Nothobranchius furzeri: one gene and its partners. The protein of the gene in region 7 interacts with the protein of the main gene of each other region in a pairwise test. Links are inferred from orthologs where the notes say so. Each region holds a gene or a part of one and is shown on either strand. Other genes may lie near its edges.

Evidence for each region.
Region 1: the proteins of golga2 (region 7) and slx9 interact in binary tests that used the Homo sapiens proteins (3 or more experiments, as listed by UniProt). The two-hybrid records come from large-scale screens. The link is inferred for Nothobranchius furzeri from reciprocal best matches to the Homo sapiens genes GOLGA2 and SLX9.
Region 2: the proteins of golga2 (region 7) and ppp1r16b interact in binary tests that used the Homo sapiens proteins (3 or more experiments, as listed by UniProt). The two-hybrid records come from large-scale screens. The link is inferred for Nothobranchius furzeri from reciprocal best matches to the Homo sapiens genes GOLGA2 and PPP1R16B.
Region 3: the proteins of golga2 (region 7) and poldip3 interact in a two-hybrid assay, tested with the Homo sapiens proteins (2 studies listed by BioGRID and IntAct). The two-hybrid records come from large-scale screens. The link is inferred for Nothobranchius furzeri from reciprocal best matches to the Homo sapiens genes GOLGA2 and POLDIP3.
Region 4: the proteins of golga2 (region 7) and rbm41 interact in binary tests that used the Homo sapiens proteins (3 or more experiments, as listed by UniProt). The two-hybrid records come from large-scale screens. The link is inferred for Nothobranchius furzeri from reciprocal best matches to the Homo sapiens genes GOLGA2 and RBM41.
Region 5: the proteins of golga2 (region 7) and tbp interact in a two-hybrid assay, tested with the Homo sapiens proteins (2 studies listed by BioGRID). The two-hybrid records come from large-scale screens. The link is inferred for Nothobranchius furzeri from reciprocal best matches to the Homo sapiens genes GOLGA2 and TBP.
Region 6: the proteins of golga2 (region 7) and syt6a interact in binary tests that used the Homo sapiens proteins (3 or more experiments, as listed by UniProt). The two-hybrid records come from large-scale screens. The link is inferred for Nothobranchius furzeri from reciprocal best matches to the Homo sapiens genes GOLGA2 and SYT6.

The regions. Positions count from the first base shown.
Region 1 is NC_091743.1:79,934,187-79,937,686, reverse strand, and holds part of slx9 (ribosome biogenesis protein SLX9 homolog), read left to right. Parts: intron 1-1,775; coding exon 1,776-1,890; intron 1,891-3,500. UniProt on the Homo sapiens protein: May be involved in ribosome biogenesis.
Region 2 is NC_091743.1:61,208,466-61,211,965, reverse strand, and holds part of ppp1r16b (protein phosphatase 1 regulatory inhibitor subunit 16B), read right to left. Parts: intron 3,341-3,500; coding exon 3,216-3,340; intron 1-3,215. UniProt on the Homo sapiens protein: Regulator of protein phosphatase 1 (PP1) that acts as a positive regulator of pulmonary endothelial cell (EC) barrier function. Involved in the regulation of the PI3K/AKT signaling pathway, angiogenesis and endothelial cell proliferation.
Region 3 is NC_091752.1:66,994,372-66,998,649, forward strand, and holds the start of poldip3 (polymerase delta-interacting protein 3), read right to left. Parts: upstream 2,801-4,278; 5' UTR 2,690-2,800; coding exon 2,622-2,689; intron 2,066-2,621; coding exon 1,968-2,065; intron 1,892-1,967; coding exon 1,464-1,891; intron 1,354-1,463; coding exon 1,306-1,353; intron 1,213-1,305; coding exon 1,135-1,212; intron 1,062-1,134; coding exon 837-1,061; intron 1-836. Other genes in the region: protein FAM234B, read left to right, coding at 3,605-3,641. UniProt on the Homo sapiens protein: Is involved in regulation of translation. Is preferentially associated with CBC-bound spliced mRNA-protein complexes during the pioneer round of mRNA translation. Contributes to enhanced translational efficiency of spliced over nonspliced mRNAs.
Region 4 is NC_091750.1:69,606,606-69,609,943, reverse strand, and holds part of rbm41 (RNA-binding protein 41), read left to right. Parts: coding exon 1-28; intron 29-138; coding exon 139-343; intron 344-3,338. UniProt on the Homo sapiens protein: May bind RNA.
Region 5 is NC_091749.1:35,000,480-35,004,645, reverse strand, and holds the start of tbp (TATA-box-binding protein), read right to left. Parts: upstream 2,801-4,166; 5' UTR 2,670-2,800; intron 2,296-2,669; 5' UTR 2,140-2,295; coding exon 2,089-2,139; intron 1,386-2,088; coding exon 1,226-1,385; intron 1,103-1,225; coding exon 925-1,102; intron 791-924; coding exon 703-790; intron 494-702; coding exon 402-493; intron 291-401; coding exon 123-290; intron 1-122. Other genes in the region: psmc3 (26S proteasome regulatory subunit 6A), read left to right, coding at 2,801-3,745, 3,827-4,165. UniProt on the Homo sapiens protein: The TFIID basal transcription factor complex plays a major role in the initiation of RNA polymerase II (Pol II)-dependent transcription.
Region 6 is NC_091755.1:39,508,325-39,512,343, forward strand, and holds the start of syt6a (synaptotagmin-6), read right to left. Parts: upstream 2,801-4,019; 5' UTR 2,748-2,800; coding exon 2,591-2,747; intron 1-2,590.
Region 7 is NC_091746.1:54,869,445-54,872,944, forward strand, and holds part of golga2 (golgin subfamily A member 2), read right to left. Parts: intron 3,249-3,500; coding exon 3,026-3,248; intron 2,912-3,025; coding exon 2,750-2,911; intron 2,658-2,749; coding exon 2,551-2,657; intron 1-2,550. UniProt on the Homo sapiens protein: Peripheral membrane component of the cis-Golgi stack that acts as a membrane skeleton that maintains the structure of the Golgi apparatus, and as a vesicle thether that facilitates vesicle fusion to the Golgi membrane.

The DNA of each region.
Region 1 (3,500 bases), on a different chromosome or scaffold from region 7:
CGATTCAAATGTCAAAGGTACCCATCCCTACTTACCAGCCACTGTGTCATCTGCTGAAGTTGCCGGCGGCACATGCGCACTTTGTTGTTTACAACCAAAGCTAACGTTAGCGTTTTAGCTAAAATACGTGGGTTGAGGGAGAATGCAACGAGTCGCTATATAAAGCAGCCGCAGTGCCGCTACCTGCATATAAACCGTGTCGCAGACACCCCCATATTGAAGTGACGCTATGCATTACGGAACTCCCAGGGGCAGATAAGAGTTGGTCTCTCTCCGAGAATAATTATGAATTTAACAATGATTACTGCCTGATGACATTTTCCCAAATCTGCAAAGCTCACTGGAAGGACACAAACCGAGGACAACATTTTCCTGATACAGGGTTTATTACTCAAGTAAGGGTAAAAAAGTATCTGATTAGAAGGCTACTTGAGTACTGAGTATCATCTGATTTAATGTATTTAAAATGATAACATCAAACCAACAAAAAATAAGAAGTTATGGGCAAATATTGGTATTTTAAAGACTAAAGGGGAAAAATGTAAACAAATAAACAACATAATTACAAAGTAACAAATTTTTGCTAAATTTAGACACAAACTGAGGACAATATTTTCCTGATATACAGGGTTTATTTAGTTTTCTGAAAATGTAACACGTTTAAAATAAATACCGCGATAATACCGAAAACCGTGATAATTTTGGTCACAATAACCGTGAGGTTAAATTTTCACACCGTGACAACCCTATAAGGTACCCATGAGTATGTTTGACCGATGGTTTAGAACCTCTGCAACAATTTTTATTTAAAGGGGCCATCATAGAAAATCCATGTTTGGGAGCTTTTTACTATGTGATATTGTTGTTTCCTCTCGGGAAAGTCCCCCCAAACCCATTTTTGGCTGAATTCATGCATTTTCCTGTTTCAGCTGCAAAGTTAGAGTTTTACTTTGAAAATCTTGTAACTCCTCAATGGAAACATTTCTTGTCATCAGACCCTGTTCCTCTTCCGGAAGCTAGTGTCTGGTCTAAAAGCTGTCTCCTCTGGCCACCACAGGACATGTGGCTTAGGCAACTGCTGTGGTAACGGACTTGGTAGGCTAGAGGTTAGAATGCAGGGCTGGCATGTAGTTTTTCACAGGTTCACATCCTGGTCTGAGCAGTAACTCTATTTCTTCTTCTTTAGCTACACTTGCCAGTATGATGTTTTCAATCCTTTATTCATAAACTGTAAAATATAACTAATGTGTTTGTTTTTTTTACTTAGCCAGTGTGACTCCATGTGAGGTGAGAAGAATAAATCAACTAAAATGCTGCTCGGAAATGACTGAATTTAAAGATCTTTAGAGACACAAAATATTTAGTAGAAAATTATCAATAAAACTAAAATATATAAAACATGAAATCTTCTACAGCTGGCTAAACAAATTACTGCAGACACCACCGGGAGTTGAACCCATGTCGCCACATGGCAAACTGAGATCCTGACTCGTCTAAGACGCCGTTGTAGGCATGTTTTGTCAGAGCGGGCATGGGCAGGGATTCACTGAAACGAAGCGTTTCATAAATTCAGACTGACTAAAGCACTCAAAACTGCCGTTGCTCCAGCTGAATCACCTCAGCTAATGGTTTTGTTTTCATTGACAGTCATTCAGAGGTGTGCTAGCAAGATACGTTGAACATGTCTAGATAAACGGCAGCTTGTGTTGATGGTGTAATGTTCAACATGTGCATGGTGGTAAGGTGGTCTATTTTGTTGAACTCTAATGTTTCAGATTGAGGTTTGGAGCTCCCTCTCCTCTGGGATCTTTGCTGGCACTAAGATTTCTCCAGAAGTCCTGGTGCAAACACTGGATGTAGAAGAGCCTCCACGTTTAGTCTCTACAAAAGGTATGATGCTGTGATGTTAACTTGTTCCTGGGTGGCTAGTTCAGTTATCTAAGACTATTTTATATGCACTTCATTTTTCTAATGTTTCTGTAGAACACACGTGGACCTCCGATGCAGCACCTGAGTGTGTTACTCTTTAGTCATCTGTTACAAAGATGGTCATATCTGAAGATCACTGTGTTATGTTTAGAGCCTCTGGATGCTCAGGTGACCTTAGAGATCATTTGTGCAGCTTGACGATGTAAATGTTAATGTACCCGCGACTGAAGGAGTACAAAGATATGCAGCAGACTTTTTACTCTTGTCGGTAAATTACCAGAAATGTGGGTTTGGAGGTGGTGACTACATAAAAAGGTGGAGGAGAACAAGGGACAAATTTGTCTCTGAAATATTTGAATACAATAGTAAACACACTAGAGAAGTGCCTGCATTGATGGCATGATACCCCAGAAAAGCACTACGCCCCCTGCTGTCCTGGTGGAGAATTGTTTCACTGACACACCAACAGAGAGTCAGTATGTGTGTGAGTGCAGACTTGCTGATGGAGACGTATAAACTAGGCTTCACCCCGAGACACCTGTGCAGCAGACCATCACTGTCTGATCCAACAACATCCTCCTCAAGCCTCGTTACAGTGAAATAAAAATGGTGCTGAAGAGATGTGGATCTGGCCCGCTCCTGCAGCCAGCTGTGTTGTTCCTGCCTTGCTCAGCGGCCATTTTAACACCTAATAGGTTTTTTCAGAAGTCGTACCAAGTGCACATTAAGTAGTTTAGTTAAAAGGGGTTTGAATCTGATCAGATCTGTACTGATTTTCCATGCGGCTCACACCGTTTCAGGTTTATGTGGGGAAACTGGTGAGCTTAGAGCCATTCCAGGACCAGCTAGTCATTGAACCCACTGAGGTTAAAGAGTAAGTGTACAGGTAGTGATAACTTAAATGATCAGTTTGCTATGCTTCCAGCAAACGGCTTAACCCTGAATTCAAACTCTCTTCCCTCCAACGCAACAAGAATGTGCTCTTGCAATACTCTCTGTCACCTCACCACAAGATGGAGCACAAGTCCTAATCTAAGGTGACATTCCCAGTTATGCAGGTCCTTCTCAAAAAAAATTACATATTGTGATGAAGTTCATTATTTTCTGTAATGTACTGATAAACATTAGACTTTCATATATATTAGATTCATTACACACAACTGAAGTAGTTCAAGCCGTTTATTGTTTCTAATATTGATGATTTTGGCATACAGCTCATGAAAACCCAAAATTCCTATCTCAAAAAATTAGCCTATCATGAAAAGGTTCTCTAAATGAGCTATTAACCTAATCATCTGAATCAGCTAATTAACTCTAAACACCTCCAAAAGATTCCTGAGGCTTTTTAAAACTCCCAGCCTGGTTCATTACTCAAAAACGCAATCATGGGTAAGACTGCCAACCTGACTGCTGTCCAGAAGGCCATCATTGACACCCTCAAGCAAGATCTTAAGACACAGAAAGACATTTCTGAACGATAGGCTGTTCCCAGTGTGCTGTATCAAGGCACCTCAGTGGGAAGTCTGTGAGAAGGAAAAAGTGTGGCAGAAAACGCTGCACAACGAGAAGAG
Region 2 (3,500 bases), on a different chromosome or scaffold from region 7:
AGAGAGCTGCTACTGGAGGAGCAGGTGCAGAGAACCTCATAAACAAACATTAATTTTCAGACCTATATTTTCCCTTACTGAACAATAAGTGTAATTCTGCCGATTATCTACTTTATGTTATTTGTATTACATTCATTTGAACGTTAAACATCAAAAACCAGCTAAGGAAAAATATGGATGTATTTTGATTTAGCAGTTAAAAATGACAGCAGTCCAATTACATTAAACAAATCTCTAAAGTCTGCTCAGCAGCTTAACTCTAATTTGTTTGATTGAAACTTTTTTTTTTTTTTGAAGCACATGAATATTTGTGTGGGAGTGTGTGGAGGAACCCCAGCAATACGAAATGCCCTCATGGAGTCTCCGACTCCACAAGGAGCTAAAGCTGGTCGGGGTCAAAGCGAGGTGCAGAGTGGAGTCGCTCTAAGCTCAACGTAAACATCAACAAGCTGCAACATCTGGGCCACAGTTCTACACACATCCATGCAAAACGAATAAATATGTTCGAACAGAAAAGCCTGGACACGGTTGAGACGTTAATAATAGAAGGTCCGATTGTGGCAGTCAAATTATTCTTCCACTGGGGGAGGATATGATCAACGGAGCCAGATTTAACAGATTTACCTTCCCCACACTGGATTCAAAACAAACAGAAAATGTTGACCTCGTGCTGCAACTAGGATAAAAAATAAAGGATTGAGTCAGATTTCTGTCCGGATCAAGCTCTCGTTTATAAGTCATGATGCAGTTGCTTTCATCATTCTAACAAAGATCAACAGGATGCATAAAGCAAAGGGACAAGCCGCTCAAATCTGTGGTACGAATTCAGAGATTAACCGGGTTATTTTGGGATGAAACCATGCGTTTCAGCACCGTCGCTAAATCCATGATGCATAATAAAGACTCCATTTAGGTCTCCGACATTATACATCCTTCTCAGGAAATTATATGCAGATGATCCATTTTGAGCCCTGTTTGAATGCATCACTGCTCTGAATGGCTAAACAAGTTCAGGGACCAATTTATGCACTACACCCCTTAATTAATACACAGAGTGCTGACTTACATAAACATGGAGTATTTAGGGAATGATGAATTGGGCTTTTCCAAGGTTTTATTCTCAAGCATGCTGGAATTCTTTCCAATATTTGCTCAAACAGGTATTGCCTTAGCATTCACAAACCTTGCTGTTCAGTTAGATTTAAAGGTGCGTTATATCATGGCGTGACATCAGATTGACTTACATTAATTAAAATAATTTGAAAAACGTACATTTTAGTGACAAAGTGTTGGAACTAACGGTGTTATTTCTAATCTCAACATCAGATCTCTCTGTAATTCCTTTTCTGTATAGCAATAATGTATTTTATCCTAGCACTAATTGCATATACATTACAAATGAAGACATCAACAGCTATGTTGATATAAAAGTTATAATTGAGGATATCAATAACAACAACTGTACTAGTAGGAATTAAGTTTGAGATGTCCCAGAATCCCTAAAAACCTAAAGGTGGCCTTTTAAACATTTATTAGGCAGACTGGATACGTTTAATTCCATTGTTCCGAGCAGAAATTACATTCCAGATATCCATATGAACTGTAGAACATGAAAGTAACATCAGTTATTTTAATAATTACTTTTGCAATGTGGTAACTCAGTTACTAACTCAATCACTTCTTGGAAAAGTCATTTGTAAATATAACTAATTACTTTTATAACATAAGATGCCAAACAGGCTAAATGTGTGTTTTTCCATTTCTCCTTATTGCCCATTTTTACCACTACGTGTTCACTACATTTTACTACTTTGAAGCGAGTATTTAGGTGAAAATCAGCATGAGATAACTTGTGTATGAGCAGAGTGCATTTGACTTGCTTTTGAGAAGATTATGACCGTCTGATGCCTGATTAGCTCTGAAGGGTTTAAATTCTCCTGAGACGCTGCTGCACAGGACAAACGTAAGAGTGCATTCATAATGAAGATTGTTAAATTTTCATTTTTACGAAACACTTTTTGTTCTTCTTGCGGCGTGTGTGGGCAGAAAGTTACCCAGAACCTTCTCAGAGGGATAACGCTAATTACGGGCCTCGCATCAGTTGGTTTGATGTTGCTTGATCTCACTTAGAGGCTTATGCTCAGTATTAGCAATCAATAGCTTAAACTAGCCCAACTGCAGGAAAGAGTTTAACTACTGAACCAATAAATATGATATGGCCTTCAACATAATAATTTTAATGGGCTCTTACAGGTTACATTATTTATTTAGCTGAATCTCAGCTGAAATGTATAACTAATGAGCAAAAATTAAGATTCCTACAGTTTAAAGAACCACTGTTAGCAGATATGTGAGCATATTCTTCTGCATGACATCATCAGTCCCATAATTCTGTGGAGGGCCTTTGCTTCAATAGACGAGTCATCATGAACTATTGCCTTTAGGTTTCAGTCAGACTGAACTTTAACTTTTGCTTTTTGCTGCTGCGTCTGTTATGAGGGACATTCTTGTGCCACGACTCAGATCTGACCAGGCTCTTGGACAGATGGTCTCATATTTGATTCTACGATAGTCTGGTTAGTTCTGGAAAGTTTATGGTTGATTTGCTGAGGTGTACGAATTCTGAGGCAAAAAAAAAAAAAAACCCAAGTCATCAGTTGCTACCACCATGCTTGAAAGTTTTAGAGCTCTCATTCCCTAATGTTTATATGAAACTGCTGTGGTGTCTACTATGAATGAATACCTTGAGTACCTTTCAGTGGAAAAAGAGCTCTGGCGCTCCTGTTTTAGAAAGAAGAAATTAACCGCAGGACTGGGGATTGGGAAAACAGCAGGATTATGAGTCTTACTCATTAATACTCATTTATTTCTACAAATTAAACTCTAACTGCTAATGCTAGTGGTTAGCTTCTACTAGCTCTCTCCTGGCTGCTACATCAGCACAGCCATCCCCGGTCTGAGAGCCAAAGTTCCAAAGACAGTTTTCAGAGTGACCAATCCTATTTGAAAAAGAAGGAGTACTGCACGGTTCCTCAGTGAATGAGATACTTAAATAATCTGTTGATATGCCGTCAATCACCAGCACTGTTTGCATGTCTGTCTGTACAGTAAACATTTACACAAAATCCTAAAGACACCAGATTTTACATTCTAATGTTTATATGAAGCAATAATGAGGGGTTTGAACTTTAAAACTCATTTGAACAGCTGCTTACCAGTGCGGCTCCCTGACAGTCCTGCTGGTTGACCTCTTCTCCTCGTCTCAGCAGTTCCTGAATGTCCTCTATCATCCTCCTCTCTGTGGACGCTCGCGTCTCATTGATCATCTCCTGGGTGATGCCTGTCAAGAGAGCCAGCCGAACAGATGTTAATCAACCAGTACAGATTTTTTAGGGGGTGGGGTCAGGTTTATGTACAACTGTAGCCGACAGGATCAGAAAGACATCTTGGGTTTAATCCATCGTCCTGCTGCCTCACAGCTCTAACCCACAGTCATATTC
Region 3 (4,278 bases), on a different chromosome or scaffold from region 7:
GGAGCAGCCAGGGCTGTGAGGGGACATGGTTTTATTTTAACCACTGAGACTGAGGACGCAAAAAATCTGTGCTCTTGCTGCTTGTGTGAATAAACCACCACCAAACGCAATTTTAGCATGGACATTGCTTGATGTGAAATCTTTTTACCCGTGCGTAAAGCCTAAACCTTGACGTAGCCCAGTGGCCATTTGAAAGTATTTGATTATTTTTTGTTTAAGTTTTATGGACAAATAGCCGCTACATTTAACGTCTACAATAATTCACAATTTAATAATAGGATGGTGTTAAAGGAGTGAGTCATCGCTGAGTAAAAGACATCCAAGATAGCCGGCACTGCTAATCGACAGGAATGCATCGCCGTGCTCACCCGCGTCCGGCAGGGAGGAAGAGCGGTGAATATAATGTAGTGACCGGCAGAGCTGGGTAGAGTACTCAGATTACACTCTGGTAAAATTTGAAAATGCAGATCAATTGTCCTGTTATGTGAAGAACAGCTCACGAAATCCAGTTTGGAAACAAAGGTTTGCAGAAGTCTCATGTTTTAAGTGAAGCTAAATCATAAACAAGGCTAAAAATGTACCCTTAACTTATCCAAGCAAGACAGATTAACACTTTCAGATTTGGAACTGTAACAAAAACTAGTAGAGAATACAAACGGGCTTAAACCGGCTGCACTCTTTTGATTTTCACCCAGAAACAAAACTTTTGGTCACGTCCGTGGTCCTTTAGCCTGACAGTCTCACCTAAAGACAAATGTTCTCATGCTGAAGATGTTTATGTCACAATTAACACAACAAGATGACCTAGCCGGTCAGTGAAAGCACACAGTGCTTACCTGAGGAGGAGTGGGCGCTGTGGTGCTGGTTTCTGCTGCACTCTGCTGTAGAGTCCTGGAGACCGGCTGTAGTGCTGCTGCAGCAGAAGGCCGGGCGGCAGCCATGTTGGTGTTGGGACGGGTGGGATTCACAGGGACGGGAGGACGGGGTGCTGTGTAGGCATCGTTTTTAACCACCTTGGTGATCGGGGCTGTCATGGAGAATGTTGAACCTACTGTACCAGACTGTATGAAATAAACATAAACAATTACTGTAGAAAACAAACAAGACTTTGGCTGACGATCGAACTCAGCTCACCCGTGACTGCAGCATTGCGTTGGCGGCTGTGATCTTTATTTGTTTGCTAGGGATGTCATCAAATTCATTTGGGGCAGGCTGGGAAAACAAAGCAATCTATTAAGTTACATCCCTAAATAGATTTCAGCAGATATGGGATATTGTTCTATTAGAGCACAAAAAGAATCGCACCACTTGAGTAGCTGCACGTATTCCGGCCAAAGCTCCCACGGGACGCTGCTGCAAATAGATACACTACATATTAAAAAGCCTATTCTGCTTTCAAGGCTCATAAACACCATATATGTGCAGGTGGCATAAATGATCCAAATGAGTTTTTCCATCCTCACCTGTATAGTCTTTGTTATTTGTAAAGGTGGGCCAGCAGTTGCTTGTGTTTGTGTTCCTCCAATGCTCCTTTTGAGGCTCAGTCTATCACGGGCATCCATCACTCTTATGTTGTTGTTCAGCTGTGATGCTGTGCTGCCCCTCAAACTCAGTCCTTGTACAGTAGGAGTAAACTGCCTCGTGTTTGCACCGCTCATGTTGTTGTTGGTGTTAATCTGTATGTGTGGCACAAGTGTGTTGCCCTGTAGCTGCTGCGTTATGGCTGCCTTTAGTGTGGGCTGCACAGAAACACTGCGCTGAACCTGCCCCTGTTTCCGTGAGTTGATCATCTGGCGAGCATCTTGCACTGTTCCGGCTCCTCCCCTGCCACGGATTTTGAACCGAGCATCTTTCTGAACCAGTTTTTCTCTGGCATCTTTGACTTGAAAACCTGAGATGCGATAATTAGTTCAACAGCAAAATGCTCACTGGGCACTGCTTTTTCAGCACTGAAGACTCAACCTTACCTGTTCCCCCTCCAAGACGTCTAACATCACTCAGGCCAATTTTCTGCCTGGCATCAAAACTTTTCAAATCACCTCCTCCACCTCGTCCAAATACGGGCCTGAGGGAAAAATCAAACTTCAAATTAAACCACAAACGCATTCTCAAGTTGTGGAATTTTTAGTAGAATAGACTTTTTATCGTAAGTTAAATATGTGAAGGTAAATATATTTACGGGTCGCCTAACTGCTATTTCGTGAAGCTATAAAACGATACAATTAAATTATCCAGGGGATTTCAAGCACGTCTTTTAGCAACAGCGGTCTTAGCCAAGCACGGCTAAATCCCGAATAAATATTAGCTAAAGAACTAGCTAATATGAACCAGTGAAGCTACAAAACAAATAACCCGCAAACGCCCATTATAGCTATAGTTAAATGCGTTTAAACAAGCTAAATAATTACACTACAGGTTAATTTATTTTAATATAACGTGATTTATAACTTGAGGCCTGTGGCTAACAGCTTTGCTTTAGCCTGGGACGGGATTGTAGCTAACCATAACAGGCTATCGTTAGCATGCGGTCCCAAAAAGGCGAACGGGAGCGCGTTATGCTTTTAAAACACCAACGCGCTTGTCTTAAGAAGCATTTTTCATTTTAATTGTAATAAAATTACCGTTTGACTGAAATCTTGCGGTCAATACCGCGCTGTCGTATCACTTCATCCAAAGAAACGTCTGCCATTTTCTCTCAAACTTTTTCAACTGCGCCTGCGTATATTACCGCCGCCTAGGGAAGATACCTAAACAGCAGTTTTAGGCCAAATAAGAGATCGATTGTGCATTTGAGGATGATTCGATTTGCTTTGATTTGATTCCCCCCATTTTAAATCAACAACATGAAAGAGGTAAACCATGTTTTCTTCATAACAAATTAAACAGAGAAGAAACCAAATCAACTTGTGAACAATCTGTGATCATTTACCCTTGACTGAAAGCAAAGGCTCGAGCTCGCCAAATACCCATGAGCCTTTGCGTCATTTCCACCACAAATGTGAAATGTTTTGCCCAAATCCTGATGTTCACGTTAACGTTAAAACATATTTTTACGTAATATTACTATTTAAAAAGCAATATATTCGTTTAAGTCCACATGGTTAACTGTTGACAGCTTTCACAGGTGACACCATAATAGAGAATGCCATGTGGTTGTGACTAGTGGTATGATCGGAACTCACTTGGTTATGCCTTAAACTGATGAGTAAGGAAAATAACGATGCGGGGTGACGCCCGTATCCTCGTTCAAACTACGAGAAGAATTTTTGAACGGGTACAGGTCTGCCTGCTGTGGTGACTCGCCTACTTTGCGAGATGCCTCGTGGGACTAGGACCTTGCCCGAACCTTATCATGTAAAAAATAAAAACCATTCTAAATCTTTAGACGTTAATTGGCTCAGTCATGTTCAAATTCTGCTGATACTTCATTTAGTTTAAAGAATTTACATTAGCTTGTTGATGTCACTCTAGATAGGTATTATTATCGTAGTATTTTGGAAGCTGTGATGTAAACAAACTCAAACTCCCAGAATGCATTTGGGCAGAGTTAGCTAGGGAGCTGTTTCTTCTCAGTCTCTCAGTCGGTGTCCCTCGCACGGGAGAAATGGCTGCGGCTCTGTCCCGTGCCCTCAAACTGCCCGGTAAGATGCGCCACACCGGTTCCTCCTCCTCAGACAAACAGAACAAATCGAACCTGTCATTTTTAAACCATCGACGCTTTTCGGTTATCTTTTTTTCAGGTGTCGGCATGGCGCATGCGACCCATTCATTTCATTCATTATGTCAGCCGTTTCAGATTAACGTGTGTTAAAGTGTTATATAATCTGGATATTAAAATGCGTGAATGCAACCAGCGGGTTTTAATGCCAGCTAATGTTTATCCAACGCAGATGATGATGATGCGCATAAAAACCGCATTCCATTTTTTTCCCTGCTAGACCTGTCCGCTCAGAAATAGTCATTTATTTACGAAGGAAAAAGGTTTTAAAAATAAATTCACCGAGGTTTTTGGGATATGGCTGCTATCTACAACAGTATTATTATTATTATTATTATTATTATGTGGTTACAACCAGGGGGGCTGCCAGAGATTTTGGGCCCCATGAAAAAATATCAAGTTGGGCCCCCTGGACTGATTTAATAGTACTTTAATTAATTATTTATGTAGATTAAGTTTTTACAAATCAAGTTTTTTAGTGCATATAGTTTTTTTTTAATTGTGACTCTGCCCAAGGACTAACAACATATTTTCTGCAAAGTAGAGCGCATGTTAACACA
Region 4 (3,338 bases), on a different chromosome or scaffold from region 7:
CAGAGACGCTTCAGAGGCAGCAGAGAAGGTAAAACTTCCAGAAAATATACATTTCTGTACAAAATTATACAAAAATGTGAGTTACAGAAACTCTTAAGTGATGCATGCTAAACAAACCCCTCCATTTTGCCTGCTCAGTCCCGCGGTGTGTGTCCAGCTCCAGATGCCAGGCAGCAGCGTCTCCAAGTCATCAGAGACAAGATGGACGCCAGGGCGGAACTGCTGTCCCGCCCTCAGCGCTTCGCCGCCAGCTGCCTACTGTCGCGCCGTGAGATGGAGATTGAACGAGCGCTGTTTCAGGGGAGCGACCGCCAGGGTTTCCTCTCCGCGCTCTACCACCGAGGTGTGAAGCTCTTTAGGAACCGAACAGACCTCCACATGAGGCTGTTCCTTCTTTTTTCTTTTGCTACTGTGTTTATGGAGATATGTTTATGTTTATGTATTAGCAGACGCTTTTGTCCAAAGCGACTTACAAGTGATAATCGGCATGTTGCCCTTGAGGCTAACAACAACAATAACAACAACAACTTGACATCAGTCATGGAGAGGAGGGAACAAAGGAGTGGATGGTAGAGAGGGGACGGGTGCAGGGAGGGTGCTAGTTAAGAAGATGCTCTCTGAAGAGCAGGGTCTTCAGGAGTTTCTTGAAAATTGAAAAGGAAGCTCCTGTTCTGGTAGTGCTTGGTAGGTCATTCCACATTTGTGGAACGATGCATGAGAAGAGTCTGGATTGTCCTGAGCGTGGTGGAGGCACTGCTAGCCGACGATCCTGTGATGACCGGAGCAGCCGGGCCGAGACGTAAGCCTTTGCAAGAGGATTCAGGTAGATGGGAGCTGTACCATCTCGGACTTTGTATGCTAGTGTTAGCAATTTGAATTTGATGCGTGCTGCTAGCGGTAGCCAGTGGAGCTCAATGAACAGAGGGGTGACGTGTGCTCTTTTTGGCTGATTGAAGACCAGACGCGCCGCTGCGTTCTGGACCATTTGAAGAGGTCTCACCGTACAGGCTGGAAGACCAGTTAGAAGGGCGTTGCAGTAATCGAGGCGGGAGATGACAGTAAATTGCACCAGGAGCTGGGTGGCATGTTGTGTTAGGTATGGCCTGATCTTTCGTATGTTATACAGCGCAAAGCGGCATGAACGGGCAACAGAGGCAACATGATCTTTAAAGGTCAGGTGTTCATCAATCACAACACCCAGATTTCGAACTGCCTTTGAAGGAGCCAGAGATAGGAAGTCATTTTGGATTGAGATATTGTGCTGAATGGATGGTTTTGCTGGGATGACAAGTAGATCAGTTTTAGAGAGGTTGAGTTGGAGATAGTAGGATTTAATCCATTTTGATATGTCAGAGAGACAGTTTGATATTCGTGCAGAGACAGTGTGGTCGTCCGGTGGAAATGACTGACAGAGCTGGGTGTCGTCTGCATAGCAGTGGTAGGAGAAGCCATGTGATCGAATGATCTCACCCAGTGAGGTGGTGTATATGGTAAAGAGAAGAGGTCCTAGTACAGAGCCCTGGGGGACTCCTGTGGCAAGATGGTGCACGGTAGAGGACTGTCCAAGCCAAGAAACACTGAATGATCGTCCTGTGAGGTATGATTCAAACCAGGCGTGTGCTTTCTCTGTGATGCCCATGGTAGAGAGTGGCAAATGCAGCTGATAAGTCGAGCAGGATAAGCACTGAGGATTTGCCTGTCGCTCTAGCTTCTTTAAAGGATTCTGTCACTGCTAACAGAGCAGTTTTAGTGGAGTGGCCCTTTCTGAACCCAGATTGGTAAGGGTCAAGCAGACGGTTTTGTGAGAGGCATTCTGTGATCTGCTTGAAAGCCACCCTTTCCATGATTTTGGACAGAAAAGGGAGGAGAGAGATAGGTCGGTAGTTCTCCACATGATTTGGAGGAAGAGATGGTTTTTTAGCAGCGGTTTAACCTGAGCATGCTTGGGAGAGGTGGGAAATGTATCGGATGTCAGTGAAGCGTTGATCACATGTGTGACTGCTGCGGCTACTGTAGGAGCAATAGCTTAGAGCAGCTTAGTCGGAATGGGGTAGAGGGGGCATGTAGTAGGGCGGCTGCACGTGAGAAGCTTGGACACACAGTCCTCAGTGAGAGGGGAAAAAGGAAAATGAAGCAGTAGGGCTTGAGATGGTTGGGCTAGAAGGAGTTTGTGGTAGCGAATGCTCTGGAGGGGCCAGTTGAGTAAACTGCTTATAGCTGCCACTTTGTCAGTGAAGAATGAGGCAAAGGTGTCAGTTAGGGCTGCTCAATTAATCGAATTTTAATCACGATTACGATCTGAGTTTTGAACGATTATAAAAACAAAACAAGCCGATTATTTGCTCCTCCCACTTGCGCTGCCCTGAGTTGCAAATGAAGCGCTCCTCCCACAGTGTTGCCAACTTGGCGACTCTGACGCTATTTCCAACAGCTTTTCAGACCCCCGTCTTGACTTTTTAAATCTTAAAAGTACCTAGCGATCACCTCACAAACATCTCTGGTAACCCTTAGCTACTTTCTGGATAACTGTTGTTGACATTTCTTGCAGGTTAGCTAAACACTCCGCCTGCGCTCCGGACCGTTCTTCAGGACATTAGGAAAGGGAATGATGTAGTGATGTGTCGGTCGCTAAAGAAATCGCTCTCAGAGCCGGCTCTGTTGGAGTAACCAGAGTGAGTGACACACACACCGCACCTGCGGACTCCTGAGCCACTAAAAACGGCTAAATGTGCGGCGTGCTAAACACACGTGCAGCTTGCCCTGATTGCTGAGACCGGGTTGGGGGGTGGGGGTGCAGCTGTGATTGGGACAATTATTACATTAACTGATGGACGACTTGTAAATAAATAGTTTATAAATAAGGTAGAAATAAGTTCCTCACGCTGATAAATAATAACTAATCTCTCTGAGGACACGGTGCTAGTGCACTCTCCTACAGCACCTTGACATGTCTAAATAAATGTTATGCAACATTTTGTGAACATCAATTTATTTGCATTTATTTGTTATAAATGCCACTGTATAATTCTTGCTGTCAGTATTTGCAAGATATTGGTATTTGGGTCTGTACTGGTTAGACTTAAATGAGTTAAACCAAGGTCTATAGCCCTTGGGTCGTAGACTATGAGCATATTGGTCTTTTTATACTGGGAATCAGGAGTTATTTTAGTGATCATCTTGTTTCTTATTTCTTTTTGTCCTGATTGTGCCCTGAGCAATTTTATGACTGAATAAAACAAATAAAATCAACATAAATTGAAAAATCGTCCTAAATAATCGAGATCTCAATTTCAGTCACCATAATCGTGATTATTGTTTTTGCCATAATCGAGCAGCCC
Region 5 (4,166 bases), on a different chromosome or scaffold from region 7:
CGTTAATTACATCGTTGCAGGGGGATTCTGCCGGGTTTTACCGGTGTTCAGAGTTTAATAACCGCAACACAATCACATATTTACCACAAAGATTATGAAAGATTAATAAATAAAACACGTACCTGCTAAACTGTTGATGTGTGAGGACTAAACCCTCCAACCGAATGGGAAACTTCACATCACAACTGCCCACCATGTTCTGGATCTTGAAGTCCAAGAACTTTGCGGGAAACCCGAGCTTCTGGACCACACGTGCATATTTCCTAGCCGCTAGTCTTGACTGCTCCTCACTAAAAAGCATGAGTAAGAATTAGCCCAGAAAGAAAGCCAGAAGATAAAACACAAGTGTAAAGGAAATCTGCATGCATGAGGAAGCACAAAAAACATTATTTGACTCAGACCTTTTGGCTCCAGTGCAGACCATCTTTCCGGAGCTGAAGATGAGAGCCGTGGTTCTGGGTTCTCGTATTCTCATTATGACGGCAGCAAAACGCTAAAAACATTAAAGCAGGAATAACTTATTACAGATTAGACTAAATTGTCGAATTTAGGTGTACAGACATTCATTTGGATCTGTGTGAAATATTACAATGGGCAAATCTGACTCTTCAGATGAGAAAAAAGTCGGTAAATAAAAACAGCTCTCCTACGAGCTGCTACAAAAGACAGCAGAGCAGCAAAAGGTTGATATTTTAGTCTTACCTTTGGGTTGTACTCTGCATTCCTGGCTCTCAAAGCAATGGTCTTCAGATCCAGTTTACAGCCCAGATTAACAGTCGACACAATGTTTCTAAGAGCAAAATTTAAAAAAAAGCTAATAAAAAGAAGGGTTGGGATAAGGATCATAGACTTATGTAACAGAGATTGCACATTTGTATTTAGCGTTAGCTGCTAATACTCCAACAGAATTTATATGGGACATACTGTAGCTGTGGTACAATGCCAGAGCTTTCTGAAGCAGGTGTGGATGGTGTGACGGGTGTCATGGGGGTCAGCGGAGCGTTCTGCAGCGGTGTGTTTCCTGGGAGGGCGGTTGTGGTTGAGCCTGCTACTGTCTGGGAATGAAACAGCTGAGGAGTCTGCCCCAAGGTCCCAGGAAGACCTGCAAAGCAAAATATTTCATTTGTCCTTGTATACTGAAGTAAAGATTAAATTACACAATGCGTTTTAAGAATAATTTCTCAGAATAAATAAAAAGGAACACCAACAACATTTGGTCTGGTACCTGTGCTGGCCTGCTGTGCTGCTGCTGCTTGTTGCTGCTGTTGTTGCCTTTGCTGTTCCTCGAGTATAGATATACTGTTTGTGTTTTGTACAGGCTGGGGCGTCAGACCTGACCCATACGGCATCATGGGGCTAAACATAGGCATGGGGGTCATGGCACCCTGCACAAGGACACACCAGTCCCCCAAAAAACAAGCATAAACAATTAAGATCACATAAATCCTGGCAAGAAAAGACTTTCAGTAACAGTTTCTCTTTTTCTTCAAATTTCATTTTCAAAAAAATAAAACCCTCTCACCAGCAATAATGGTGGCTGATGTAATGCCTGTCTGTTGTGCTGAGGAATAACTAAATGTACCAAGCCTAAAGTAACTTTTTAACTAGAGGACTGATGCTGCACAGTAAAAAGAAAAGTGAGCTGAGCATGTCAAGTTCATAAGCTTCTAAACCAGGTGTGTGTGGATTTCTGAGTGTTTGTTCACAACAAACAAACTGAGGCCAGTGAAATTCAGTCTGTCTCTTAGAAAATAAATGTTTTAAATGAAACTATTGTTGGGATAAAATATCAGCTAAACAGACATGCAATAAGGAATGTTACCAAGATTAATTCCGGTAAATGTAACTCAACAAATTGATGACAGCAAGGTGTTTAAATATGTCCCAATGCTTTTTTTTTAACAGGCAAAGACAGAGGATGAAGAAAAGAGATGTAAAAGTTGTATCAAATGTATAAAAATATACATTTTTACATCTTGAAAACTTGAGTAAAAATATTAAATGAACTGGAAAAATGTAAGAAAGTAACACAGAACTAAAAGAATTAAAATATGAAAGAAAAAAATGTGTTTCTCTAATTTAAATTACCTGAGGGGATGGCAGCCCTTGAAAGGCTGGTAAACTGTTGTTTTGATCCATCTCTTCAGCTCCTAAAGGTTCAACACTGCCGGACAAGAGCAGTCAGAACTTTCAATCTGACCGTTTCTAGGGCCTGAGCAGGAAAAATGCCACAAAAATAGGATGGGACTCCAGAGAAACACGTTCTCGTAGCTCCTTGCTCCTAGTTTTCTTATCCTGCGCAAGTAAACATCAACAGAAACACGGTTTACAAACACAAACTCTCAAATCAGTTTTAAAGCATTTTCTGCAGCGGCTGCGGAGGTGTAACTACTTATGATTCACAATTCTTGAGACAACCTGTTAAACAAGTGTGCATTTATGCCAAAGAGCATGTCCTGCATTAACGTTGCAATTTCAGAAGAACTGCTTGACAACTTTCAAAATGAAACGTTTAAACACACTTGCTAGCAGAAGTTAGCCGCAAAGCTAATATTAGCCAACAAGGAGCAACGTTTAGTGACAACGAATTCCCAATGTCAAAAAGTTGCGAATAATTTTGAAGTTTGTGACTGAAAACAACAAAATATTAAGTCAACTTACACACATACCTTTAAAATTTAACAATGTCCACAAACTTAGCTACTGCTCCGTGACACCCCCAGTCTGCTTATCGGCGCTAACCGGAACAGGAAGCTTTAACTTCCGCTGCGTCACAGTTCACACACCAGGCACAGCAAAGATGGCGTCGCTGAGTGACAAATCAGTTTGGGACGAAGTGGAGGATGGTATCGGTGAAGAAGTGTTAAAAATGTCCACGGAGGAGATAGTTCAGCGGACTCGTCTCCTCGACAGTGAGATAAAGATTATGAAGAGCGAGGTGCTCCGGGTGACGCACGAGCTACAGGCCATGAAGGATAAAATCAAAGAAAACACGGAGAAGATTAAGGTGAACAAAACGCTGCCTTACTTAGTTTCTAATGTGATCGAGCTGCTGGATGTGGACCCCAACGACCAGGAGGAAGACGGAGCTAACGTGGATCTGGACTCCCAGAGAAAAGGAAAGTGCGCCGTCATTAAAACCTCGACGCGACAGACCTACTTCCTGCCGGTGATCGGTCTGGTAGATGCCGAGAAGCTGAAGCCCGGAGACCTGGTAGGAGTCAACAAAGACTCCTACCTGATCCTGGAGACCCTTCCCACCGAGTATGATTCCAGAGTCAAGGCCATGGAGGTGGATGAGCGCCCCACAGAGCAGTACAGTGACATTGGGGGGCTCGATAAGCAGATTCAGGAGCTTGTGGAAGCTATTGTCCTTCCCATGAATCACAAGGAGAAATTTGAAAACCTGGGAATTCAGCCACCCAAGGGAGTCCTGATGTATGGACCACCTGGCACAGGAAAGACCCTCCTGGCCAGGGCCTGCGCCGCTCAAACCAAGGCCACTTTCCTGAAGCTGGCAGGTCCACAGCTGGTCCAGATGTTCATCGGTGATGGAGCCAAGCTGGTGAGGGATGCCTTTGCTTTGGCCAAGGAGAAAGCCCCATCCATCATTTTCATCGATGAGCTGGATGCTATTGGCACAAAGAGGTTTGATAGTGAGAAGGCAGGAGACAGAGAGGTGCAGAGGACCATGCTGGAGCTGCTCAACCAGCTGGATGGATTTCAGCCCAACATGCAAGTCAAGGTAAACATGACTACTACCTTAACAGTTTCAAAGTTTATTAATCCAGAATTTAACCCAAGTAATGACGTTCCTGTTTTTCAGGTCATTGCTGCCACCAACAGAGTGGACATCTTGGACCCGGCACTGCTTCGTTCAGGACGTCTGGACAGGAAGATTGAGTTCCCCATGCCTAATGAGGAAGCAAGAGCTCGTATCATGCAGATTCACTCCCGCAAGATGAATGTAAGTCCAGATGTCAACTACGAGGAGCTGGCTCGTTGCACTGATGACTTCAATGGCGCCCAGTGCAAAGCTGTGTGTGTGGAGGCTGGTATGATCGCACTGCGTCGTGGAGCCACAGAGCTGAACCACGAGGATTACATGGAGGGAATCCTGGAGGTCCAGGCTAAGAAGAAGGCAAACCTTCAGTACTACGCCTAAG
Region 6 (4,019 bases), on a different chromosome or scaffold from region 7:
AGGCACCGATGATCCTGCAACCACAGCTCCGGTCGGCCACCTCAACAATGGAGGCACAGAACAGGGTACATTCAGACTCAATGCCCCCCTCCTCCCCCGGAACATTTTGGAAGTTCTGTCGGAGGTGGGAATTGAAGCATCTTCTGACAGGAGACTCTGCCAGACGTTCTCAGCAGACCCTCGCGATACGTTTGGGCCTGCCTGGTTTGACTGGCATCCTCCCCCACCATCTGAGCCAAGTCACCACCAGGTAGTGGTCAGTTGACAGCTCCACCCCTCTCTTCACCCGAGTGTCCAAGACATGCGGCCGCAGGTCAGATGAAACAACAACAAAGTCGATCATTGAGCTGCGGCCTAAGGTATCCTGGTGCCAAGAGCACATATGGACACCTTTATGTCTGAACATGGTGTTCATTATGGACAATCCATGACTGGCACAGAAGTCCAATAACAAAACACCACTCGAATTCAGATCGGGGGGCATTCCTCCCAACCACACCTCTCCAGGTCTTGCTGTCATTGCCCACGTGAGCGTTAAAGTCCCCCAGCAGAACAAGGGAGTCACCGGAAGGAGCACTCTCCAGTACCCCCTCCAAGGCCTCCAAAAAGGGTGGGTAGTCTGAACTGTAGTTTGGTGCATAAGTACAGACCACAGTCAGAACCCATCCCCCCGCACGTAGGCGGAGGGAAGCTACCCTCTCATTCACTGGGGTAAACCCCAACGTACAGGCACCAAGATGGGGGGCAACTAGTATGCCCACCCCTGCTCGGCGCCTGTCAGTGGGAGCAACTCCAGAGTGGTAGAAAGTCCAACCCCTCTCAAGGAAACTGGTTCCAGAGCCATGCGTTGAGGTGAGTCCGACTATATCTAGTCGGAACCTCTCAACCTCACACCAACTCAGGCTCCCTCCCCACCAGAGAGGTGGCATTCCATGTGCCAAGAGCCAGCTTCTGTAGCCAAGGATCAGACCGCCAAGGTCCCCGCCCTCAACAACCACTCGTCACACAATGCACCCGACCCCTTTGGCCCCTCCCACGAGTGGTGAGCCCATGGGAAGGGGGACACACGTTTCCTCTTTGGGCTAAGCCCGGCCACCAGGCGCTCGCCAAAGTGCCCCACCTCCAGGCCTGGCTCCAGAGGGGGGCCCCAGTGACCCACGTCTGGGCGAGGGAACACGGTTTCCATTTATATAATTCATCATAAGAGGTCTTCGGGCTGCTCTTTGTCTGATCCCTCACCTAGGACCTGTTTGCCATGGGTGACCCTACCAGAGGCATAAAGCCTCAGACAACTTAGCTCCTTGGATCATTGAGACACTCAAACCCCTCCACCACGGTAATGTGGCAGCCCAGGCAAAGCAACTGCTGTTCTTTAAAACATTATTATAAAATATTGTGACATTAAGACACCCGTGAATGGGAATAATGAGAAACCCTGTAACCTGTGTCAATATACTGTCTCCCTACTCAGTGATCCTCCATAAAAACTCACATGCATTAATTTTAAAGGGGACATAGTATTATGCAGAACTCACCTATTGCACTGCAAGGTGGGTTTCCACTGCCTCTATAAACACACCACACCTAACAAAAAGTCCATCTGTTTTCTGCCAGTGTTTGCTTCAGGAATTACATCCTAAGACGAGCCATTTCAAAAAGCCCCGTTTGTGATGTCACAAACAAGGAAATTTGCAAAGCCCCCCCACCCCCCCCCCACCCCCCACCACCACCACCACCTCTTTAGCCTGGACCAGCAGCAGCCCTGAGTATAATAGTTCACTCAGGAAGGTACCAATGTTGTCAAGAATAAGTCTGTTAAGAATGCTCTTAGATTATTCAAAAATTATTCATTCATTAATGTTTTTATTGTAAAATAAATAAAAACCAATATAGTTAAAGACTTGGATTCAGATTTAATGCAAGTAGATAATCCTGAATGACTTGGATTGATATTGGGCCAAAGAGTCTTGATTGGTACATCCTGATTCTTTCTATTTTACACACAGACAGACAAATAAATCCTTTTAGGGTGTAAATTTAATTATCGACACACATGGTAAAAATACTCAGGCTTTGCTTGACAGGCTGCAGTTGAAATGTACCTAAAGAGCTCACATGTGCCAGAGCAACAGATCCACGAGGCTGCAACAGATGAGTAAATCAGCCCTCGTGAATAAGTCAGACATCTCATTCAGGGTGCTGAAACTTAGCAGATTAGCCCTGAATGCTTCTGCTTTTGTACAACCGCTGCACGTGTTCATTTGCTGGCTACCAACGCACAAAATTAAATTCTAATTCCGTCTTGTTTTTCAGACATCAGCTGACATTTGATCCATTGAGGATAAAGAAGCTCAAACTGAGGAGACGAAATAACTTTGAAAACTCATGGGTGTCCTGATGGCTTGGAACAGGAAACTCTGTCTGAACCCTCCACCACAGTTCACACATAAGGACAATAGCAGTAAAAACATAAACAGGACAGAAAAAAATTATTCAACAAATTAATTATATAGCCATCCTCCAGGGAGCAGATGTCGCCTTACGGAGCACATGCTGCCTTGTACACTCTGCGCTGTAGATCCTCGCCTACCTGCGTCTTTGTGGTCCGAGTCCTGACTGGTCAGTGCCAACAGGAAATCCTGACAGGCGTCCTGATCCAGCACGGTACTGTTGAGCAGGCAGAGGTCAATAAGGAGGGTTACAGCTTTCTGACAGAGCATGTCATACTCCTCACGGTCAGAACTCATGCTCCCAGCCGCATCCTGAGCCGTGTGTGCTCATCCAAGAGGGACTAACGCACTACCCCCCCACCCCACCCCCCAAAGCACACACACACACACACACACACACACACACACACGGAGACGTAGCATGAAAAAGACAAATGCAACTTGTCTGCATCCATGGCAGACACTCTCTTTCATCCACTCTCTCTAGTGTTTATACAAAGATACACTCAAGTGTGTGTGTGTGTGTGTGTGTGTGTGTGTGTGTGTGTGTTTGTGTGTGTGTGTTTTAGCGGGGCCTGTGTTGTATGAGCATGTGTTTGTGTGCAATATCGTGTGCACATGTGAATCACATTAGTCCCCAGGTAATATCAGAGTAGAAGAATTGCAGCATATCTATGTTTTCTAAAATTAGACCTTTTGCGCTGATCTGCCTGTGCACGAAACTTAAAAACAAATAAAAAATACTCTTTGTAATGTCCGCTGGCCTTGTTTATCGCAGGTCGGCTCACTCGGCTGACTTGACTGATCTCCGGGGCTCAGAACATCTCAGGTGATGGGTTTCCCTTGGGCTGAGCCTCCTGTGACCGCCAATGTCCCACCTACTGCACCGATATCTGCTTACAGCATGAAATCATGCTAGAACTGTTTGTGCGAGAAAGGCGTTGACAACGGGAGAAAACAAGGTTCAGAGATCCCTTGGAGTAACGGCTTAGTCGTTACTCTGTAGACAAACGCAACGTAAAGCAACAATCCTGCAATAAAGACTCCTCAGGATGCACGAAATTATGTTTTGTTGTTGTCGAGCAGAAATTTTGCTGCATTTCTATTTCAGATCTTTTTTTATCATCAAGGAGGAAATAGAAAAATCGCATTTTATTAGCTTTTTTTTTTGGAGGTGCAAATTTGTAAAAAAAATTAAAATGAAGTTATGGGGTTAAAACACAAAACAATCCAGTTGTTTATTTGAATTTAACAACAGAGTGTTTCTTATTACAATTATTACAGTTTCATGGCTGCCATAAATTTTAAATATGTTGTGTTTATGTTTGGTTGTTGTCAGCAATACCAATTTTATATACGTGTATTCATGAGTTGCAATAAAACGATTTAGTTAAACTCACATTGTTTTTAAAGCACCAGTTCACGCTGAAAATCTCAAAGCACTAATAAAATGAACTCATTCATATATCAGGTCCAGAATAAAGCCAGTTATAATCAGTAAATCCAATTCAGTTGTTGCAAAATTTGATTCTGCAGTTTTAAGGTTTAAACGAGTATATTTCTGGTTTA
Region 7 (3,500 bases):
ATGAGTTTCATAGTTAATACGTGATTATTATCAAATTAATTGCAAATTATAAATGTAGGTAACATGATAAAGTTCATGCTTCTCATGTTTTAGAAATTTATTTTACTTTTCTTTTTGTTTTATGTTCCTTTATTATCGTTTACAGCATATTATACAACAAGCATCTGTAGAAATGTATGTATCATTCCCCATTTTAGTTTTTCATATATTTTCATCGATCAAGTGTGGGATGAAAAATGCAAAGAGAGGCAAAAGAAAGGAAAACATTCAATTTGAGACCAGATTTCTTTGAAAATGTTATGAAAATCTCTTGTTACACTAATTACATAACTGAATTTACTGTATTGTATATTGCTACAAGTAAATATTGGGATATTTAAGCGTGTTGATAATTAATCGATATTTAAAAGCCGTGAATCAATTTTTTACGTAGAAGTTTCCAAGCAAACATTTACTATATTTTTTGTGTGGTGCAAATCAAACTCCGACAGCTAGGTGGCAGCAGTTTTTACCGCCTGCATTCTGACCAAGCCCCCACAATGCGTCTCAAAAATTGAGCCCAACCCGGAAGTACCAAAAATTGCAGTTCCACCCTCATCCGCTGGGGGCTGGTGTCAGAAGCGAGCAAATCCTCATTGACTCCCATGTTAAAAATACCAATTTCATAGCAGAAATAAACATGTTTACAGCCTGGTACCAAAACATGTTTTAGGTTTAATAGATCTAGTTTACAATCATGACAACTCTGAGGGGGGTGAATTTTTTAGTCACTCTTCTGTTTAAGTTTATTAAATGACCTAAAATTCTGAATAATTAATGAGCATCAGACCCACGTGACCGCAGAGCTAGCTCTGGGGAAAAGCCTCAGTAGAGCCTCGGCCTGGCCTGGAAACTGTTCCGGGATTTTTAGTCTTTGTGTTTGTGTATTCTTTTTTGGATATTATTTGTGCAATTGTTGGACAAAATGACTTGCTGTGGCATTAATTGCACTAATAGAGCGTCCAAGGAGTCAGCACTTCATTTTTTTCTGTAAGTAAAATTATATTTATGTATTTTAGGTCACTGCCGAGCTGAGCTTAGATTTTAACATGTACTGTTTAACCATGAAATTTAAATGTAATAGGGTAAAACCCAGTGCATTTAACATAATGTTGCACTTTAGAAAATGGGTGGAAATATAACATGTTGGTGGAGCTGGGTTCCGACTATCAGCTTGTGGAGCTCTCGGGAGACCGATGTTTTCCACCCGGTTCTCCCCTCCCCGCAGCTCGGCGCATCTCTGTCTGATCGCGGCTTCTGTCTGCTGTGCGGGCTGCCGGCTTTCAGCAGCTCTCGGGAGATCTCTGTGTTCCACCCGGTTTTACCCAGCGGTCAGCCCAGCGTATCTCTGACTCAGAAGCTCTGGTGTTGTGCACAGTTAACTCCGGTTGTAGCTAGGTTGCTACCTCTGTTAGCTTAGCTCCCACCTCCGCGTTAGCTTCAGGTTAGCTTGTAGCTAGTTCGACCGGGTGTCGTCAGTTGATCCCAGCCTTACAGCCACACCCTCAGCTCCACCTCTCTTCCCTTTTGTGGAATTGTCTGGGCTTGACGGAACCTGTGACACGGTCAAAATGGCGGTGGTGGCCACCTCCCATTTTGGCTCAAAAACGTATTATTGGTGCCTATGGAAACCCATTGTCCAATATTTATATGTCGATGATTCTGACGCAGCAACACAATCTGGCACTAAAGCCTGAGTCATGCTTCTCCGTCAGCTCCAAAAGGGAGAGACACGCACGGGCGGAGACATTTGACCTCATACTTCTCCGTCTCCTGGGGAGTGTTGGAAAGCAATTCCCCGCCAGGACAACAGAGGGTGTAGCGCTGTTCTGTGGTATCCTGTCATGTATCCGGTCCAAGATAGTGTGTTTATATTGTTTTTTGGAGACTTTTTAACACAGACAAATTTGTCTCTCATTCTCCTCCACCTTTTCATGGGCTCTCCACCTCTAAACCCACGTTTCCTGTCATTTCCGTCCACAAAAAAATGCTTGCTGCATATCTTTTTACTCCTCCAGTCACGGGGGAATTAAACGTTCATGTTTTTGGAGTTTTTTCACGAGGTATTCTTAAAGCTTCTTCGTGTCTGCCGCTAGTTATCCTCGGCTCTCTTTATGTTTTTTTTTGAGGGAGCAATGGCGGCGGTGTAGACGACAGCGGTACCCTGACCAATCACAAGCTTGCATTCTCCGTCTTGACGGATGGATGCTTAGAAAAGAGAGCTCGACTCCATCCGTCCTAGCAGGGACTCTCCAGCAGGCCCGCAAGGACAGATAATGGCGTTGCGTGTCTCCGCACTGACGCAGAAGCATGAATCAGGCTTAACACTGGCTGTGTCTTGGAAGCGTCTGGCCTGAGTTTTCTAATCAAACAGATGCTCCTGTACACACAGATACTGCTTCACGATAACACGTTAACTTTTTAAGTGCTAATTATAATTTTATTATATTTACAGTAAAACATTTTCCAACCAGGTAAAAACACCTGCATCCACACGAGTGACTATACAACCTTCATCTCTTCCTTGTCCTGGGCCAGCATGCTGATGTACTGCTCCTTCTCTTGGTGCTTCTGCTTCATGATGGCTCGCTGACTCTGGTACAGGGCGATGTATTCCCCTAAAGGAGAAACAGGCACACAGTAATGGTGAATATACACCAAATCGAAATTTAAAAGGGATTTTCAGCATGACGCTAATGTCCAGCCTGACCTATAGTGTCGGTCTCTCCAGACAGCTGAATGCAGCGGTGCTCTAGTTCTTCAACCCGCTCCTTCAGATCAGCTTTCTCCTGCATCAGGGAGGTGAAACGCTGCTGAAGCTTCTCCATTGCAGCTTGTAGAGCCTGATGTACCTCCACTGGGACGCCTCCATCTGGAGGGTTTAACACGGAATCACAGAACGTTAAAAGCGAGTCACATTAATTTACTCGTCAGAGTGGTGCAGTCCTGGTGAAATCCAATACAAACCACTTTAATTGTGTCTAACCTGGGAGTTCATGGCCGTGTTCACAATGGGTGTGCTGGTCCTGATTCTGGTCCTGACCATTTTCATGAACAGGTCTGTAGTTTAGATGTTGCTGCTCAAGCCGGAGTGCCACAGCGGCTTGTTGCCGGGCCGCCAAGTGGAGCCTGCGCTCTTCCTTCAGTAACTGCTTGACCTCATCTCGTTCAGCTTCTAGCTGTGCCAGAGCACCACGAATAAAGTCCTCCTGTTGAGGGATCAGAGTGTCAGCAGAGGTGTTGAGGTGGAGCTTTGATGTTCAAGGTTTGGAAAAGAGATTCATTTTAACTCATTCACTGCCATTGACGACAAAAGTCATCATTTGCATTTTTTTACGGTGTGGGCATCGGAACGAGCCCCCGCACTGTGAGAACAAACATCTCAGCTCCAAAGCCGATCTTCATCCGCATACGTCACACGTCACGTGATCAGGAAGCAGAGAATCCATTGTGTTAGGAGA